5 linked regions of the Macaca mulatta genome follow. The protein of the gene in region 5 purifies or fractionates together with the protein of the main gene of each other region. This does not show direct contact. Links are inferred from orthologs where the notes say so. Each region holds a gene or a part of one and is shown on either strand. Other genes may lie near its edges. The genes, in order: EXOC1, EXOC3, EXOC8, EXOC7 and EXOC5.

What was found.
Region 1: the proteins of EXOC5 (region 5) and EXOC1 purify together in Homo sapiens (affinity purification with mass spectrometry; 4 studies listed by BioGRID and IntAct, counting the BioPlex papers as one, with this or other methods). This does not show direct contact. The link is inferred for Macaca mulatta from reciprocal best matches to the Homo sapiens genes EXOC5 and EXOC1.
Region 2: the proteins of EXOC5 (region 5) and EXOC3 purify together in Homo sapiens (affinity purification with mass spectrometry; 7 studies listed by BioGRID and IntAct, counting the BioPlex papers as one, with this or other methods). This does not show direct contact. The link is inferred for Macaca mulatta from reciprocal best matches to the Homo sapiens genes EXOC5 and EXOC3.
Region 3: the proteins of EXOC5 (region 5) and EXOC8 purify together in Homo sapiens (affinity purification with mass spectrometry; 5 studies listed by BioGRID and IntAct, counting the BioPlex papers as one, with this or other methods). This does not show direct contact. The link is inferred for Macaca mulatta from reciprocal best matches to the Homo sapiens genes EXOC5 and EXOC8.
Region 4: the proteins of EXOC5 (region 5) and EXOC7 fractionate together in Homo sapiens (co-fractionation; 4 studies listed by BioGRID and IntAct, with this or other methods). This does not show direct contact. The link is inferred for Macaca mulatta from reciprocal best matches to the Homo sapiens genes EXOC5 and EXOC7.

What each region holds. Positions count from the first base shown.
Region 1 is NC_133410.1:77,573,697-77,577,209, forward strand, and holds part of EXOC1 (exocyst complex component 1), read right to left. Parts: intron 204-3,513; coding exon 4-203; intron 1-3.
Region 2 is NC_133411.1:1,538,452-1,542,741, reverse strand, and holds the start of EXOC3 (exocyst complex component 3), read right to left. Parts: upstream 2,802-4,290; 5' UTR 2,763-2,801; exon of another isoform or gene 2,383-2,762; intron 2,289-2,382; exon of another isoform or gene 2,086-2,288; intron 1-2,085. UniProt on the Homo sapiens protein: Component of the exocyst complex involved in the docking of exocytic vesicles with fusion sites on the plasma membrane.
Region 3 is NC_133406.1:17,695,463-17,699,517, forward strand, and holds EXOC8 (exocyst complex component 8), read left to right. Parts: upstream 1-1,249; 5' UTR 1,250-1,339; coding exon 1,340-3,517; 3' UTR 3,518-3,846; downstream 3,847-4,055. Other genes in the region: DNA-dependent metalloprotease SPRTN, read right to left, coding at 475-695. UniProt on the Homo sapiens protein: Component of the exocyst complex involved in the docking of exocytic vesicles with fusion sites on the plasma membrane.
Region 4 is NC_133421.1:85,832,938-85,837,152, forward strand, and holds the start of EXOC7 (exocyst complex component 7), read right to left. Parts: upstream 2,814-4,215; 5' UTR 2,731-2,813; coding exon 2,671-2,730; intron 2,474-2,670; coding exon 2,408-2,473; intron 927-2,407; coding exon 742-926; intron 442-741; coding exon 336-441; intron 1-335. UniProt on the Homo sapiens protein: Component of the exocyst complex involved in the docking of exocytic vesicles with fusion sites on the plasma membrane.
Region 5 is NC_133412.1:130,332,590-130,336,102, forward strand, and holds part of EXOC5 (exocyst complex component 5), read right to left. Parts: intron 2,207-3,513; coding exon 2,086-2,206; intron 862-2,085; coding exon 775-861; intron 1-774. UniProt on the Homo sapiens protein: Component of the exocyst complex involved in the docking of exocytic vesicles with fusion sites on the plasma membrane.

The sequences.
Region 1 (3,513 bases), on a different chromosome or scaffold from region 5:
TACATTTAGTTTTTCAAGAGGTTGTCCTAAAGAGTAAATGACATAAGACTGAAGGTGATCTGTGTATTTTTGTTTGGCGTCTTTTTTTTCTGCTTCTAGACATGAGATTTTCAATCGAGAAAGAGTTGCAAAAATATGGTGAAAGTTTTCCATCATAACCACATCCCTGGGGGTCTTCTGGCTTTCATTTGCTACTTTCTCCACTAAAACCAAAACAGAAAAAATAAAATAACATCTCTGAGTATGACCGTATTTAGCCACAAACATTTATATGATTATTTTTTCATTTGTAAGTTTAAGAATTAAGCACATTTCTGGACTTAATAAAATATATTGTAATGGGAGTTTTCAGATCTACCTAATCATCATAAAAAGTTATCCTAAAACAGTCCCATGTGTACATGGAAATTCAGTATATAATAAAAGTAGCGTTTCAAATCAATGGAGAAATGATGAATTATTCAAAGTGTGTTAGGACAACCAGCTGGACCATTTTAATATATGAAATTTAGGTCCCTATTTTACATCTTGCAGCCAAATTCTGAATTGCTAAATTATTTAAAATGTAAAAAGCAAACAAATAAATTAATATAATCATAAGTACTAAAGAAAATATAGCTAATTGAAAAATAATAATTTTGTGATGGGGTGACCTTGCTGAGAATGGCCCAAAATTCAGAAGACTATTAAGGGGAAAGATGAATAAATTGGACATAAAATTTGAAAATTCATGTAAACACACCATACACAAAATCAATGAAATGCAAAATAAAATAGTGAGATAATTTATAGCCTATCAGGTTGACACAGAATAAAAAGATTGGTAATACCTAGTAATATCCAGCATTTGTACAGTTGTAATGCAACTGCTCATAGCACTAAACTGACATAAGCTTTCTGTATCACAATTTGGGAAAAGACTTGAGATACATAAACCCTTTGACCCAGTAATTCCATTTCTAGTAATTTACCCTAAAGAAATTATTTGACAAGTATACAAAGATATATAAACTAAAAAAACCCTAAATGTTTATTTTATTTTATTTTATTTTTTTCTGTGTTGAAAACTTTTTATTGTATGTACCAGAGAGTATAGAAGAACATGCATTAACTTATTTACTGAATCTTCATAGTGAGTGATGTGTGTGTGCATATGTAGTTATCTCATTATCTATTTTTTGAGCATGTATTATTAGAAGAGATATTTGAAACTCACAAGATGTTTCTCTTTATTTTGATTCTTGACAAATTTTGGAAAGTTCCAACTTAGACAATATGTTCAAAATAAAAATACATTGCAAATTTCCATGTTCTAAACTAATTACAACAAAAGTACAATTTAGGAGAATTGTGGGCAGGGGAAATTAAATGAATTATAAGATTCATTAAGCATAATTTGATCATTGACTCTTTATACTGCATTAGATTTTTACATTTTATTCTTTCTGATGTAGATCAATATGTCTTGATCGTGCGCGCGCGCGCGCGCGCGCGTGTGTGTGTATGATCGCCAATGGTTTTTGTCATTTTGGAATGTCATGTAAAAGGGAAATGACAGTACCAGACGAACTATTATATGTGTACACAACTTATTCACTGAATCCTCACAGTGAGCGACATAAATCAAAACTCCCTGTGACAGTAGGGAAAGACTGGTAACTTTTAGTAGGAAAATGATACAGGTTAAAAAAACCCTAAATGTTTATTAATAGAAGATTTGGTAAATGGATAATGACATATGGATGACTATGTAATCGTTAAAAATGATTTTGTTTATCTATATTAACTAACAAGGAAAGGTACTAAGATTACATAGAGTCCAGCAGCTTCAAAAATAGTGTGTCAGATATGATAACATTTTTATATTAAAGAAAACACACACACACAATATGCACATATATAGAAGAGAGGGACAGGGAATTGAAAAGTTTGGAAGAATAAAAATTTAACATTATCTCTGTACAATAAGATTAAAAATGATCTTTCTTCCTGATTTGAAAATTCTATTTGCTGATTTTTGTGGATAAATAGTTATGTTTCAGGTCTTGTACTGGCTAGCACTTCAATAACAATGCTAAATAATAAAGGATCTAACAATATTTCTGCTTTAAACTGATTTCAGAGGGAATGTCTCTACTATTGCAGTTAAGTGTCATGTAAGCTTTAGGCCTGAGATAGATTTTTTATCCAATTAAAGGAATATCTGTCTGTTCTTAAGTTTTATACATTTTAGTTTCTTTATAAATGAATTAATTCATTTACAAAGAATAATGAATGAATTAATTCATTTATTATTTATTTTTAACACATGGTCTGGCGTTGTCATCCAGGCTAGAGTGCAGTGGCATGAACAAGGCTCACTGCAGCCTTGACCTCCTGAGCTCAAATGATTCTCCTGCCTCAGCCTCCTGTGTAGCTGAAACTCAGGGACACACCACCACACCTGGCTAATTTTTTTGATTTTTTTTATAGAGACAAGGCCTCACTATGATGCCCAGGCTGGTCTTCAACTCCTGGGCTCAAGCAATCCCCAAACTGGTCCTTCCAAAGTACGGCGATTACAGGTGTGGGCCAGTGTGCCTAGCCACATTACTTTAGAATCAGATAAAGCAAAGCTACTTTGAATTTTAAAAGGAAAAATCAAGGGCGGGCACAGTGGTTCATGCCTGTAATCCCAGCACTTTGGGAGGCCAAGGCAGGCAGATCACTTGAGGTCAAGAGTTTGAGACAAGTCTGGCCAACATGGTGAAACCCCGTCTCTACTAAAGATACAAAAATTAGCTGGGTGTGATGACACCTGCCTATAATTCCAGCTACTTAGGAGGCTGAGGCAGGAGAATTGCTCAAACTCAGGAGGTGAAGGTTGCAGTGAGCCGAGATTATGCCACAGTACTCCAGCCTGGGCAATAATTGGTGAAATGATTCCATTTCCTGCCAATTCTTTAGCTTCTACAATTCCTGAATATATGCAATCAGATCATTTATTTCACATGAAATGACATGCCCAGACTTTTCTGTAACTTAATTGTGGGATCTGACACAGGAAGAAAGCGAGTTATAGTATTTCAGCACTAATTTCTCCTGTATTTTAGTACTAATTTCCTTGTATAATAGATATGGAAAACTGAGGCCTAAATAAATGAATTGATTTGCTTAAGGTCACACACACATCACAGCCCATCATCTCTAGAAGACCACTTGTTGAAATGCAAATGTAATCTGGAAGGTCATGTTTTTGTGTTTAAAAAATGATTTTCTACAAAAAATTAGCAGGGTGTGGTGGGGTGCACCTGTAGTCCCAGCTACTTGGGAAGGTGAGGTGGGAGGATCATTTGAGCCTGGGAGGTGGAGGTTGCAGTGAGCCAACATAATGCCACTGCACTCCAGCCTGGGTGACAGAGTGAGGCCCATCTTAAAAAAAAAAAAAAAAAGATTTTCAATTTTGCATAGTCATAAGCCCATATGAACCCTAAAATGTAAGTGGTTCCTAATGATTATGAATAGGTTTTATTT
Region 2 (4,290 bases), on a different chromosome or scaffold from region 5:
AGCAGGTGCGTTTCATAGGCATGAGAGACATGGACATTTGGAAGATTCTAGATGTGGGTCCCAAACCACCCACCATGTAGATGTCAGTCTCCAAGGCACATCTCTCCCCAAGATAGGGCTGGTTTCTCATTTCGGGAGCCTTCCCCCAGCACCTTGGCCAGGCCTGTGGGCAGCTGTACCAGGACCCTCAGTGAAGACAAATGCAGCACAGACATCTCCCCCAAATAGGTACCACAGCTGGAGGCCCAGCACAAGCCCCACAATTCCCTATAAAAGTTACTATTGTCAGCCGGGCCCGGTGGCTCACGCCTGTAATCCCAGCACTTTGGGAGGCTGACGTGGGTAGATCACCAGGTCAGGAGATTGAGACCATCCTGGCTAACACAGCGAAACCTTGTATCTACTAAAAATACAAAAAAAAATTAGCCGGGCATGGTGGCGCCTGCCTGTAGTCCCAGCTACTCAAGAGGCTGAGGCAGGAGAATGGTATGAACCCAGGAGGTGGAGCTTGCAGTGAGCTGAGATTGCGTCACTGCACTCCAGCCTGGGCAACAAAGCAAGACTCTGTCTCAAAAAACAAAAAAAACAAACAAACAGCAACAAAAAAACTCATTACTGTCTTGGGTATCCAAAACCCCATTTCCCCCTTTTTTAACTGCCATAGAAAACATTGCGCTTCCCTCCTTTATGCAGGTCCGATGCAGACCACAGGTGCTCAGATGGCAGGCAAGCCTGCCTTCCATGCTCCCTCCACCATCGTCCTCCTCGGGGAGCTAAGACAGCTGCTTGGTGAGCATCTGGTCAATGCGGGAATCTGATACACCTGTTCCCCTTGATTTCAGCTGTTCGATTTTCATCTTCATGAATATTAACAAGATTCGCCTTCTCCTGGAATTTTTCATTCTCCGTGCCCACATGCTTTCAGACCCCTCTCTTCTCCTTTTTCATCTGGACCTACATTGCAACCTTTCCTTTCTCTTTATTTTCTGATTACGAAATTAGGCATACAATGTACAAAATCTGGACAGGACAAAAATACAAAGTCCCAACACCCAGGGGCAACTCCCCTTAAATCCCCACACTCAGGCAACTCTCCTTAAATCCCGACACTCAAGGGCAACTCCCCTTCAATCCCGACACTCAGGCAACTCCCCTTAAATCCCAACACTCAAGGGCGACTCCCCTTAAATCCCGACACTCAAGGGCGACTCCCCTTAAATCCCAATACTCAAGGGCAACTCCCCTTAAATCCCGACACTCGGGCAACTCCCCTTAAATCCCGACACTCGGGCAACTCCCCTTAAATCCCGACACTCAGGGCGACTCCCCTTAAATCCCGACACTCAGGCAACTCCCCTTAAATCCCAACACTCAGGCAACTCCCCTTAAATCCTGACACTTGGGCAACTCCCTCCAACAGGGCTTGTTTCCTTCCAGTTTTTTCCCTTTGAGTTTCTTTTAAAGCTAACGTTCCATTGCTTCTATGACTTCGCAGGTGCACACTTTTGTTTTCTTATTTTGTTTGGATATTATCATCAGCATTTCCATTGACATTAAAGTCTGCATGGTTTTGATTATAGGGCTGGATAACAACCCAAGAAGTGGACACCCAGCACTCTGCTGGTGCACACAGTGAGGTGACTGGACCCATCTCCAGGCTGGAGTGAAGTCTGTCATGCTGTGGGTGGAAGCCAAGGCGATGTGAGTGAAGAGCTGGGAAGCAGAAGCAGGCTCACCTTGGAGTCAGAACAAAGCTACTAATGTGGGAAAAGGGAAAACCTTAAGTTAAAAAACACAACGCAGAGGTTTTCATCCCAGCCTGAAGACTAAAGATTTTGGGTCAAGAAGCCAAAGAGGAACTCAGAAGCCACAAATAGAAACCCAGGTTCAACCCCTACCAGGGTCTTTCTGACTGCCTTTCCCTGGCGCTGGCTCTGCTGTGAGTCTCTCCACCGAGCGGGGGGGACACCCTACTGAGGGGAACATCAGCACCCAGGGGGACACCTGCGGCAGGGGGACACCTGCACCAGGGAGACACCTCTGCCGGGCGGGCACCTCCGCCGGGAGGGACACGTCACCGGGGGGATGCCTGCGTCGAGGGGAACACCTGTGCTGGGGGGCACCTCACGGAGGGGACACCTCCGCTGGAGGGACACGTGCACCTTGGAGGACACCTGCACCAGGAAAGACATTTGTGCCCGGAGGGACACTGCTCCGAGGAGGGACACCTGGTCCGAGAGGGGACACCTGCGCCAGGAAGGACAACTGCGCCTGGGGGGGCGGATACCGTCAAGGGGACACCTGTACCAGGAAGGATACTTGTGCCTGGGGGGACACCTGTGCCTGAGGGGACACCTGCACCTTGGAGGACACCTGCGCCAGGAAGGACACTTGTGCCTGGAGGGACACCTGCCCCAAGGAGGGACACCTGCTCCGAAGGGGGGACACCTGCGCCAGGAAGGACACCTGCGCCTGGTGCGGGGGAGACACCGTCAAGGAGAAACCTGCACCAGGAAGGACACTTGTGCCTGGGGGGACACATGTGCCGGGTAGGACACCTGCGCCGAGGGAACACCTGCGCCGAGGACACTCGCACGAGCGGGATACTCCACGGGACCCGGAACGGCCTCCCTACCCTCCAGGTCCCGGTCCGGCCTCCCCCTACGCGCCCCCGCGGAAGCCAGAGACAGGGAGAGCAAGGATGAAACACGGCGACCACCGCCCAGGGACCCGCGGGCCGTCCGGACCTGCCGCCGACTCACCCTCTAAGCCTACGCCGCAGCCTCAGCCACCGCCTCCGGAGTCCCGGAAGTGGACAGCGAACGGGTACTTCCGCTTCCGGCAACGGCGCCGGAAGCATGGGTCCGGCCCTCCGGGCGGGGCGGGTGCCCGTCTCTTGGCCGAGCGACTTCAGCTCGGAGACCTGCCCCGTGGCCGCTCCCCAGCAGGACATGGTAACTGCCGGGGTGGGGGTCTCCTTGCCCGTCCCAGCCCCCCCAACTCAGGCCCTCTCGCTGCCTCCGGCGACCCCCGCGTGCGCCCTTCCCCAGGGCCGGCGCAGTCTTGGAAGCCTCCGCCCAGCGTGGCTGCCTGCGTTTTCTCTCCGTTCCCTTCCCGACCTCCGGAGAGAAGACAGCCACAGAGCCGCTGTGGCTCCGTCCTCTGCTGACGCCTCATGTCTTTATGTTGGCCTTGCCGTCCGCACTGCAGTGTGGCAGGGGCGTCCCACCTTTGCCGCGGACTGAGGTGGGCGCCGAGCATTCAGTAAACGAGGAAACGAAAGCGGGGAAAGTTGGGAATCAAGCGTCTGTCTGCCTGCCACCAGCAGACTAGCGGCTTTGGGTACCCCTTGGACCCAAACACGAACTCAGCCCCTGCAGGAGCACAGTCATCGGCACCCACGTGGGAACAGTGCCCTGGGATGGGTGGCCACGGGATGTTTCTGGGGCCCCTCAGAGGCCCAGCGGCGCGGGTCTTGGAGAATGAATGTGTGTCACTGGGCCGCTGCTGCAGAGGGCCGGTCCTGAGTCGCTGCTTGGAAAAGAGGCCCACGGCCAGCGTTTGGCTTCACCAGGAGGAAAAAGCACGTGCTAAACCACCAGCATTCGGGGTTTGTCTGTTTGATAAAGGATGCACCAACTAACAAGAAAGTCCTTCATAGGTTGCAGCTGCTAGGTTGTGCCCCTGGCCCCTCCCGAAAATCGGCCACACAAAAGGAAGGGTCTGGAAGGTGGCAGAGAAGCCAGCAGAGACAAGGAAAGTGGCAGCAGCATAGGGCGGGGTCGCACAGAATGGAGATGGAGCTGTGGGAGCCCCCGCTGCCACTCCCACAAGGAGCCCTGCCCCGTGCCCTGCTGATGCTAACACCCCGGCTCTGTTATTTCCGTTTTTCCTTGTAATTTCTGAAAATCTAGCAACAAGTTGAGCAATGAAAAAATTTTTTTAAAAAAAGTTAAAATTATGTTAGAAATTATGACTAATTTTGAAACTAATGAAGGAAAAAAAATGGCCAAAATTACCAAAGCTTTTAGGACTCTTCAAAATATAGTAACATTGAGTATTATGAACTAAAGACATACTGTTATTCAATGTCTGGTAGTGAATTTGGATGGACTGTCTAGTAACTTCTTAACATTAAAAGTCTTTCTTGGTGGGGCACGGTGGCTCACGCCTGTAATCCCAGCACTTTGGGAGGCTGAGGCGGGCGGATCACGAGGTCAGGAGATCCAGACCATCCTGGCTAACATGGTGAAACCCCGTCTCTACCAGAAATACAAGAAAAAAACTACC
Region 3 (4,055 bases), on a different chromosome or scaffold from region 5:
AAGCATCACTGAAGATCCCCACTGCAACACACGAGCTCACTAAAGTGGGTTCCTAACGGGAAAGAGAGGAGGGGAACGCACATCCTTTGGAGGTTACTCTGCGTCCTCAGCACTTTCTTAGGGGCAGATTTGGTTGCTTTTCCCTTCAGGGTCCTACAGCACTATCATAAGGCAAATCAGGAACTTGTTATTTTCAAGTTTAGTGAGATTCAAACACAAATCTCTTTTCTCGTTAGGGCCCTGAGTCCAACCGTGGCGGTGGGGTCTACACAGCTTTCTTATTTTTCGAGTGGGAGAAAAGGTAAGAAAAAGAGAAATACGCCAAGGCAGGAATTGCCAGGTCCAAAACCAGACTCCCCCCTCATTTAATGCCCCCTGGGACCGTCGGACCAGAGAAAGGAGAGAAGACCAGGACCGGGGGCTGCAGGAGAACTGCCAGTCCCGCCTCTTTCCCCAGCGGGGCTCGGAACTCACAGGGTCATTCGCACGCTCCACTTCACCTCGACGGCCTCCAGCTGGCCCCAGAAGAACTGGTCGTTAAACTGAACAAACAGGGCCTGCAAGTCCGGTGTGGGGTCCACCAACTCCCACGACGCGTCCACTAGCGACAGGGACTCCTGGGCCTGATCGCGCTCCGCCTCCTGCAAGTTCCACTCCTCCTGAAGCCGCAGGGCCAACATCAGGTCATCGTCCATCGTTGCCAGGATCACAGGCGGGATCCGCCGGTGTCAGGCTGGCTCCGAGTTAGGCTGCGACCCCAAGCCGCCTAGCGGAGGACCAGGACTAGCTCCTAGGAGATACCGGCTCTCGAGACGGCCAGTCAATCCCGCGAGAGTTCGCGGAAACTCGCTTGAGAAAGAGAACGTGAACGAGAACGGCGCTTACCCCAAACGCCGAAGCCAAGATTCTAGGGCTTTAAAACAAGCAGTCAGCACGACACCTCCTAGTGGGCGCAGAACCTGGGCTCACAGGGCACCGGCCCTACGAAGCTTTCAGGAAGCTAGTTCCAGCCTTTACTCTTTGCCGGTTATTTCAAACCTCAACGTCACGCTCGGTTCATGCGCAGTACTCAAATTGCTCTCGGCCTCTCCACTCACTTCCGCACTAGCTCCTCCGGCGCATGCGCCTTAACTGATGGCATTCCTGCGCAGGCGCAATGTCTGCGCCTGGCCCCTTGCGCAGGCGCAGTGTCTGACGCTCAGACCCGGCGCAGGCGCACTCGTCTTGTTCCAATTCCTGCTTCCTCAGCCCAGGAGCTCGGTGGGTCTTGGGTGGGTGTAGACAGCCGCGGCGGCTGCGGCGCCGATAGTGACAGTGAGTGCGTGAGACCCGGACGGAAATGGCGATGGCGATGTCGGACAGTGGGGCGAGCCGCCTGCGTCGGCAGCTGGAGTCAGGGGGTTTTGAGGCGCGGCTGTACGTGAAGCAGCTCTCGCAGCAGTCGGATGGGGACCGGGACCTCCAGGAGCACCGGCAGCGCATCCAGGCGCTGGCGGAGGAGACGGCGCAGAACCTGAAGCGCAACGTCTACCAGAACTACCGGCAGTTCATAGAGACGGCCCGTGAGATCTCCTACCTGGAGAGCGAGATGTACCAGCTCAGCCACCTGCTGACGGAGCAGAAGAGCAGCCTGGAGAGCATCCCGCTTACGTTGCTGCCTGCCGCAGCTGCCGCCGGAGCCGCTGCCGCGTCTGGCGGGGAGGAGGGAGTCGGTGGGGCGGGGGGCCGAGACCACCTCCGAGGCCAGGCCGGTTTTTTCTCCACCCCCGGTGGCGCCTCCCGCGACGGCTCCGGTCCAGGCGAGGAAGGAAAGCAGCGCACTCTCACCACCCTGCTTGAGAAGGTGGAAGGCTGCAGGCATTTGCTGGAGACGCCGGGACAGTACCTGGTGTACAACGGGGACCTAGTGGAATACGATGCCGACCACATGGCCCAACTGCAGCGGGTGCACGGCTTTCTCATGAACGATTGTTTGTTGGTGGCTACCTGGCTGCCGCAGCGGCGGGGGATGTATCGCTACAACGCTCTCTATTCCCTAGATGGTTTGGCCGTAGTCAATGTCAAGGACAACCCGCCCATGAAGGACATGTTCAAGCTGCTTATGTTCCCCGAGAGCCGTATTTTCCAGGCCGAAAATGCTAAAATAAAACGAGAGTGGCTGGAAGTGCTGGAGGAGACCAAGAGAGCCCTCAGTGAGAAAAGGCGAAGGGAGCAGGAGGAGGCAGCGGCCCCTCGAGGGCCACCCCAAGTGACTTCCAAGGCCACTAACCCATTTGAGGATGACGAAGAAGAAGAGCCAGCTGTTCCTGAGGTAGAGGAAGAGAACGTGGACCTCTCCATGGAATGGATCCAGGAGTTACCTGAAGACCTGGATGTCTGCATTGCGCAGAGGGACTTTGAAGGGGCTGTTGACCTGCTGGATAAATTGAACCATTACCTGGAAGATAAGCCTAGCCCACCTCCTGTAAAAGAACTAAGGGCCAAAGTGGAGGAGCGAGTTCGACAGCTCACTGAGGTGCTGGTTTTCGAACTCTCCCCAGATCGTTCCCTGAGAGGTGGTCCCAAGGCTACTCGCAGAGCAGTTTCGCAACTGATCCGGCTGGGCCAGTGCACGAAGGCCTGTGAGCTATTTTTGAGAAACAGGGCAGCCGCTGTTCATACAGCAATTCGTCAGCTTCGCATTGAAGGCGCCACTTTACTCTATATTCATAAGCTGTGCCATGTCTTCTTTACCAGCCTTCTTGAGACTGCAAGAGAATTTGAGATTGATTTTGCAGGCACTGACAGCGGCTGCTACTCCGCCTTTGTGGTCTGGGCAAGATCAGCCATGGGCATGTTCGTGGATGCTTTCAGCAAGCAGGTGTTTGATAGTAAGGAGAGCCTCTCAACAGCAGCTGAGTGTGTAAAAGTGGCTAAGGAGCATTGCCAGCAACTGGGTGATATCGGACTGGACCTCACCTTCATCATCCATGCCCTTCTGGTGAAAGACATCCAAGGGGCCTTGCACAGTTACAAAGAAATCATCATTGAAGCCACTAAACATCGCAACTCTGAAGAGATGTGGAGAAGGATGAACTTGATGACGCCAGAAGCCCTGGGGAAGCTCAAAGAAGAGATGAAAAGCTGTGGGGTAAGTAACTTTGAGCAGTACACAGGGCATGACTGCTGGGTGAACCTAAGTTACACAGTGGTTGCTTTCACCAAACAGACCATGGGCTTCTTGGAAGAGGCTCTGAAGCTGTATTTCCCAGAGCTGCACATGGTACTTTTGGAGAGCCTGGTGGAAATCATTTTGGTTGCTGTTCAGCATGTGGATTATAGTCTTCGATGTGAGCAGGATCCAGAGAAGAAAGCTTTTATCAGACAGAATGCATCCTTCTTATATGAAACAGTCCTCCCTGTGGTGGAGAAAAGGTTTGAAGAAGGTGTGGGGAAACCTGCCAAGCAACTCCAAGATCTGAGGAATGCATCTAGACTTATTCGTGTGAATCCTGAAAGTACAACATCAGTGGTCTAATGCTTGGGTCTGTTTATATGTATGTATATATATAGAGAGAGCGCTTATATATTATTTATATTTATATTAAGTTGTATTAGCATACTCTTTATAGTTTCAAACACAACTTGAAAATTAAAAGTGCCCTCTTAGAATACAAAAATCAAAAAGAGGAAAAGAAGTTAAATTAAGCCCAAATAACAAAAATACTGGAATTATTAAAACATATAGTATGCTAGCTATCCTTTTAAATTATGCTGATTCTCTTCTGAAATTATGGTCACACTATACACTATAGCATTTCAGTTTCATCCTTTGATAAAACACTTTTTGGTTTTTTTTTTTTTTTTTTGAGACAGGGTCTCACCCTGTTGCCCAGGCTGGAGTACAGTGGCAACGTCACAACTAACTGCAGCCTTGACCTCCCAGGCCCAGGCAATCCTCTCACCTCAGCCTCCCATGTAGCTGGAACCACAGGCTGGCACCACCATACCCAGCTAATTTTTGTATTTTTTGTAGAGATGGGGTTTTACCATGTTGCCCAGGCTAGTGTTTTCTT
Region 4 (4,215 bases), on a different chromosome or scaffold from region 5:
GCAGTGAACTGAGCACTGCACTCCAGCCTGGGTGACAGAGCAAGACTCTGTCTCAGGAGAAAAAAAAAAAAAAAATCAAATGTTAAGTATATATTTTATATGTAATTTATAATTTAATTTTTATAATACATTTAAAAGTTTTATAATAAAGAATTTTTAATAATAAAAAATGTGCAATTCTTGAGGCAGAGATACTAATGCCTAGAGGATGTACTGTGCTATATCCTTCTGTGTATTCTACTGTATACATCCTCAAGCTGGCCCCATGTCCCTCATGAGACCAGGGCAGAGACTGATATCCCCAAGCTCCTCACATTATTCTGCAGATCCCTTACCACTTTGTTGAGTTCTGGGCTGTCTGGGCTGTTGTCCTGGAAATACTCCACTGCCTTCTGAATCTTGGCCATGCTTCCCAGGTACTCTTCCAGCCTACCTGTGGGGCTGGGAAGCAAAAGAGCCAGGTCAGGCTGGGGCAAGGGGGGTGAAGAAGGACTAAGGACACAGTATTTGGAAGGGAAAGAAGAGAATTAATACATGGGACTCCAGGTTCAAATATATGCTATCCCCCCCACCGCCTTTTAAGGCTTAGGGCTTAAAAGGCATCTCACTGTGTTGTCCAGGCTGGTCTTGAACTCCTGGTCTCAAGTGATCCTCCCGCATCAGCATCCCAAATTATTGGGATTACAGACCAACCCTCCGGTCCAGGAGGGATTAGGAATTGACCCTATGGGCCTAACTCACCCCTCTCTGATGATCTTCTCAGTGTCACTGGCCACATGGTAGTAGCTGATGACATGGTCCAGGCAGGACAGTGTCTTCTCAACATTCTCCTGCAGCCGCTGCAGATTCTCCGTCTGCTTGTGCACGGGGATGATGGAGTTCTCCAGCTTCATAAGGCGGCTCTCAAAGGATGATAAGATAGACACCTGCAGGAGGGAAGCCTCTTGATCTCAGGCCTCATGGTGGTCCCAGCACTGCTTCTACACACCCACCTTGGGCATTTCCTGCCTTTTCTCTGGGTTTCTAGACAATAAACTCCACAAGGGAAGGAAGAGGGTGTATCTGTTCCCCATTGTATCCTCAGCACCCATCATGTGCCTAGCATATAGTAGGTGATTTAAGACAAATTGGTTGAAATTTTATTTGAAGGCAAACCAAGCATCAAATTAATTCTTCCTAAAATAATCAGCCCAAGATGGCTTCCCTTCCACCCTTTGAAGCCAAATCTCAACTTCTGCTCTCTTTGAAGCATTCCTAAACTGGACTGGAAGTAGTTTCATACAGAGAAGCCTCAAATGCATTTCTGTATCTTCAAAACTCTCTTAAGGATGAAACTCATTGAATAAGGACTAGAGGCTGGGCGTGATGGTTCATGCCTGTAATCCTAAGAATTTGGGAGGCTGAGGCAGGAGGATTGCTTGAGACTAGGAGTCCAAGACCAGCCTGGACAACACAGTGAGACCCTGTCTACACACACAGACACACACACGCACATAATTAGCAAGGTGTGGTGGTATGTGCCTACAGTCCCAGCTACTAGGATGCCGAGGCAGGAGGACTGCCTGAGCCCAGGAGTTAGAGACTGCAGTGAGCTACGGTCATGCCACTGCACTCTAGCCTGCACAACAGAGCCAGACCCTGTCTCTAAAAAGAAATAATTTTAAAATTAAATTTTTTAGAAAAGGACTAGGACTTTATTATTGTGTGACTAAATACAAATACAAGTTTGTATTTACTCACTTTGTGCTTTTCCAGTCTCCCCTAGGAATAAAGAAGGAACCTCACTTATTGAGCACCTATTGTATACCAGGCACTGAGCAAGATGCAGTCGCATGCATTAGCGCATATGACCTTCACAGACACACTGGGAGGCTGGCACAGTCTCTGCTTTAGCAGATGAATTCGCTGACACCAGAGTTACCTATCAGGAGCCACACACTTAAGCAGCAGGGCAAGGACTAGATCCCAGATCTGCCTGACTTCAGAGCTCTTTCTTTCCCTGAAGCCCTCTGGAGTGAAGGCTGAGTCTTCTCTGCTCTCAGGAATCTCAAAGTGCCAACCTCCTGGGCAGAGGATCCATTGACGATGACATATGCCCAGTACCTAGCCCAACTAACTGGTCAGACTCACTGAGTATTTGCAGAAGGAGAGAAGGAAGAATGGCGAGCTTAGACAGAAAGCAGCAAGTCCAGGCCAGGGGGAAGCGCAGCCTCCTCAGTGAGGGGACGGAATATGGGGAGGGGGCTAGGCAGGAGAGATGCCAAACTGCTGCTAGATAAACCCACACACTGCCTGCGTCGCTACCCATGACAGAACCCCAGGCCGCAAGAACTGGAACCGCCAGGTCGCAAGGCTTTCCCCCAGGGTCCGGAGGCCTGCCCCCTCCCCCAGCTGCGAGGAGACTCACCATGTTCTTAGTGAGCTGGTCGCTCTTCTCCAGGCTGTCTCGGATGAAGGACAGCGTCTCCTCCTCCTGGGAGCAGGCAAGGGGAGGACATCACCAGAAACCAGAAGCTAAAGGAGACCACTGTGTCCCGACCCCACGGCCTAGCCCCCAACCCCATCTCCTCGCTCGGTGCGCTCCCTCCCACCCCTGCCTCCTCTCCGAGTAGACACTCAGGCCCCGCTGTTGGCCTCTTTCCCTCACCTCCTCCCCAGGCCCACGCCCACCTGCTTCAGCTTGTCCTCGATCTCCCGCCTTCGGGCGGATGCCTCCTGTGGGGGAATCATCGCTCCGAACCCCACGGCTCCCACTCCCCACTATCTCTCCTTCGCTGGCGCACCGGGCCCCAGTCCCCGTCACACCCACTTCCGCTCTTGGTCCCGCCCCGGGACACCTGGGCGGAGCCAGGTTGGGCGTGGAAGGCGGAAGTGCGCCTGCGCGGAGCCCAGGAACGGACCGACGGCCATCTTGAGTGTGGCTGTGGAGTGACGTGTACTCGGATCCTACAAGGGATCTCGACGCGGGTTCCTTTCCTCAGGAGAGGTTTTTGATCGGCCTTATGTCCCGCGGCTGGTAGGACGCTTACAGCTCACTTGCTGTTTTCGTTGAAAGACCGAGCCTTTTCATAAACACTGCTGGGGAAGGCGACGAATTCCTTTCCCCAGGTCGCATTCTGTGGGCAGGCACCAAGGCCGATTGTGTTCCCCACAGCGCCCGGCACAGCGCAGGTGACACAGTAGATGCCTAACGTGTGTCCATGTAATGAACCAGGGGCTTGTGTAGTCGTTTTCCCCTTCAACCCTGCATTACGCAAAACCGTATCCTGTGGGCTGGCGGGGCTGCTCCGGAGCTCCAGGCCCAGTCCCAGCTTCCAGCTGCAGCTCCAGGGGATGGCGTGGTGGGCGCCCCTGGATCAACTTCCCTGCAGGGTTGGATGTTGTGGTTGTAGACCCAGCTCCTGAAAAACCTAGAATTACTCCTTCCTCTAACCAGTCCCTGCCCACCCTGCCTCTGGCCCCCGGCCTTGAGACAGGACATGGCCGACCAACTTGGTTCAGTCCTTCTGTGGCCTCAGTGTCCAGACACCGGGAAGATAGACAAGGAGGCATGTGCTGGTGGATGAGAAGGTTGGGGGGGGGGGACGGACACCAAGCTTTTCTTTTTTTGTTGTGAGAGGGAGTATCACTCTGTCGCCCAGGCTGCAATTCAGTGGCACGATCTCCGCTCATTGAAACCTCTGCCTCCCGGGTTCAAGTGATTCTCGTGCCTCAGCCTCCTGAGTAGCTGGGATTACAGGCGGCTGCCAACACGCCCGGCTAATTTTTTTGTATTGTTGGTAGAGACAGGGTTTTGCCATGTTGCCCAGTCTAGTCTCGAACTCATGACCTCAAGTGATCCACCCACCTCGGCTTCCCAAAGTCCTGGGATTACAGGCGTGAGCCGCTACTCCCAGCCTGGGGGGCACCAAGTTCTAGGGTTCCCATGCGCTCCCTCTACTCATAGCCACCCAAAGAGGAGGAGGAGGAAATGGGTGTACAGAGCCTGGAGAGGGATGGGCAGCCTTCCCTCGGGCAGGAGGACAATTTCCGTCCTTTTGTAGGTGGGGGAGGTAAAGGGCAGATTCCTGTGTCAGGAAATACCCAGGATGATTTCGCTGACGTGGTCCTTGTGTCGTCCTAAGGGCTAAGTGGGGAAAAGTTTAAACTGTTAGGTGTCACAGAATAGAATAGGGGGGCTAGTGAGCCGCTGCAGAGAGGATGTTTTGGGTTCAG
Region 5 (3,513 bases):
TATATGATCCAACAACCCCACTTCTGATTATCCAGGCATACCTTGTTTTATTCTGCTTCATTTGATTGTGTTTCACAGATACTGTGGTTTGTTTTGTTTGTTTTTTTACAAGTTGCAGGCTTGTGGCAACGCAAGTCTATCAGTGCCATTTTTCCAACAGCATGGGCTCACTTTGTGTTTCTGTGTCACATTTTGGTAATTCTTACAATATTTAAAACATTTTCATTACTGCTAAATCTGTTATGGTGATCTGTGATCAGTGATCTTTGATGTTACTATTTTAATTGTTTTGGGTCACAAACCATACCCATAGAAGACAGTGAACCTAACTGACAAATATAGTGTGTGTTCTGATTACTCCAGTTAATGGCTATTTCCCTGTCTCTCTGCCTCTCCTTGGGCCTCCCTATTCCTTGAAACACAGTAACATTGAAATTAGGACAATTAATAATCCTACAATGGCCTCTAAGTGTTCAACTGAAAAACGTCACATACTTCTCACTTTAAATCAAAAGCTAGAAATGATTAAGCTTAGTGAGGAAGGTATGTTAAATGCCAAGATAGGCCAAAGTAAAAAACTTCAGGATCCAATAAAAACAACATTCTAATAAGGATGAAGGCAATATGTAAAAATAATTTTTTTTTTATCAAATGTTGTAGCAATATGGTGGAATTAAGATAAATATTTTTCTTCTCTACAAAGTATTTGCATGCTGCTATAATATGGTGTTTTTATAATTTTAAAAAATGCAAGAGACAAAACCAACAACTTGCCTGTCAATGCCAGTATCCAATTTCATCTCCATTTGTTCAATTATTTCTTTTTTCTTCTGAAGGCATTCAGATAACTTAGGAGAAGAGCTATTGTATATTTAAAATGGAAAAAGAGTCATATTAATAATATGAGATTTTCTGAAAGTTTTTCTTACATCGATGTGTATTACATTGTATCCATTTATAAATACATCCATATACATGCATTAATATTGTTAACAAATCCAAGAAGCATATAAGAAGCAAAGTAATTATTTAGCATTCACTATGCCCAATTCATTATAATAGACTAAGGAAGAGGACCACTTAAATTTGTTATTTTGATCTCTGAGGAGACATCTCTCAAGAATATAAATGTGACTTTAAAATTGTGGAATTATTTGGTTTTCTTTATAAACAAATATCTAGTGTAACACCAACAAAAGCTATAGACTAGCATCACCAGAGTTTTAAGAATACAGTAAATCATACTATAAAATTTGGAGGGAAACAGCCAATCCACTTGTATTTTTAAAAACCTGACAATCATATTTGCCTTCTGAATGCTATCAGAATGTCAAAACATTCAAAATATTAAGAAATAGGCAACCCTAATAATTGTGTGAATTCTCTGCTATGTGGTATAACAGATCTTGAAAAGTAAATTTCCTTTCAAAGTATGACTCAGGGATTACAAGTGACTGTTATCTTTGAGACTGTTTCTGGACTATTCTTGGCATGTCAGTGTTTATAACAAAAAGTCAAAAAATTTTATATGAATATTTTTCCTCTTACATAATAGTGCTAAAGAGAATTTTGTAAAGCATGTTCACATATACACCATCTTATTTGATTCTCAAATGTTTTATAAGTTCACATAAATTGATATGAAGATATAAACCAAACTTTACTTAATGCCTCATTAAAATCTGTCCTATTAATCTTATAAAATTTTTTGTATGTCTTTATAACAAGTGGGTACATGGACTTTGTCTATGAGATCTTTTAAAAGATGTCAAATTTGCTGAGTTTCACTAAGCTGGAGGTCCTCTTTCACATGAGATTTCAGATTTAGGTTTGTGACAGATTAAATCTTTTGAAATACACCAAAATTAATAATATAGTGGAAAGAGAAAACAGAAATGCAAGAAGAAACAATATTTAATGTTTTATTTCCTAGGAATTTTTATATTTTTATTTCATTCCACTTGTCCAGTCTGACATTTTTGTGAACATGTACTTTTTAAATTTAATGAAAATACACGTAGAATATTATGTAGAATGCTGTAACAGTCACTGAAATATCAATGAAAATCAGATAATTTGACTAACCTTATTAGTGGCATAAGGTGATCATTAAACTGTTTGTCAAAAAGATGAAAAATAGTATTGGCCTGTTGCACAACATCCAAAAAATAAAGATTTGCATTCCTAGAATCTGAAGAGGGAATTCCTAAAACCAGAAAGCATACATATGTTAGAATCATCCTTGAAGAAATTCATCTTGGCAACAGAAAAAAAGAATGTGGTTTTTAAATCTATAACATAAATGAAACCACTGTTTTAATACATCAGTAATGACTTCTGTGGACAGAAGAGGAAAATCAAGCTAAGCTTATACTAGTAAAACTCATCCAAAGTTATTTTTACGCCCAATGTTCACCATCTATCTACTTTGCCTTCATGATTCACGTGAGCCATGAATACATCTCCACATATTTCTTATAACCAGGCCTCTTTATCTCTGATAATAGTTCGAATAATTCTCTCATTGGTCTTCCTCATTCAAGTCTCTTTATCTTTTATCCTAGATACTGCTGCCATAGTAATATGCCTAAACTGACACATTTCACTTACGGTACTCTACACTATTTTCTCAAAAATACTCAAAATGTTCTATCTACAGATTACATACCTGATTTTATTCTGGAATTTATTCAGAATAAAATAAAAAGGGAATCAAGCCACTCCATATTCTGACCTCAAAATGTCAGCTGACCTCTGGATTTCCATTTCCTCCTTTTTGTAAAGAATAACAGATGAACTCTAAGGTCCTAGATGTTTATGTTTCTAGCTAAAAAGACTTAAGAGACTAAAGAAAATATGCATAGCTAATGAGAAAATACAGGCTTGATTACCTAGAGTTCTTTACAGGACAATGATTTTTTTGTCTTAATAATGGAAAATAAAGGTGTTCCCCTCCCCCACCCAAGTAAAAGACAAGATTACCAACTGGTAAGAAAACTGAAGGCTCCAATAACAAATAAACTTTACAAGAGAAAAAAAATCAATACATATGTAGAAAATATGAATCATTGTTATTAATGAAAGACATAAAAATTAAGGTAATACTGACGCACTTTTTTTCTTTATAGGCATCAGAACTCAGCTACGATGTATGTTTTTAACCATGAAATTAAAATTTTTAAAGAATATTCAATAATTACAGAAAAACTGGCACACACAAACAGTCCAGCAGTGGCATAAGTTAGTAGGAAAAGAAACCTTTAGGAAAACAGTTTAAATCAAAACAAAAAATTATTGAGAGGCTGAGGAGGGAGAATCGCTTGGAGTCAAGAGTTCAAGAACAGCCTAGGCCCCCATCTCTACAAAACAGCAAGACCCCATCTCTACAAAAAAAGAAAAAATTAGCTGGGTGCAGTGGCATGCACCTATAGTTATAGCTACTCAGGAGGCTGAGGCAGGAGTATTGCTTGAGCCCAGGAGTTCAAAGTTGCCATAAGCCATGACTGTGCCACT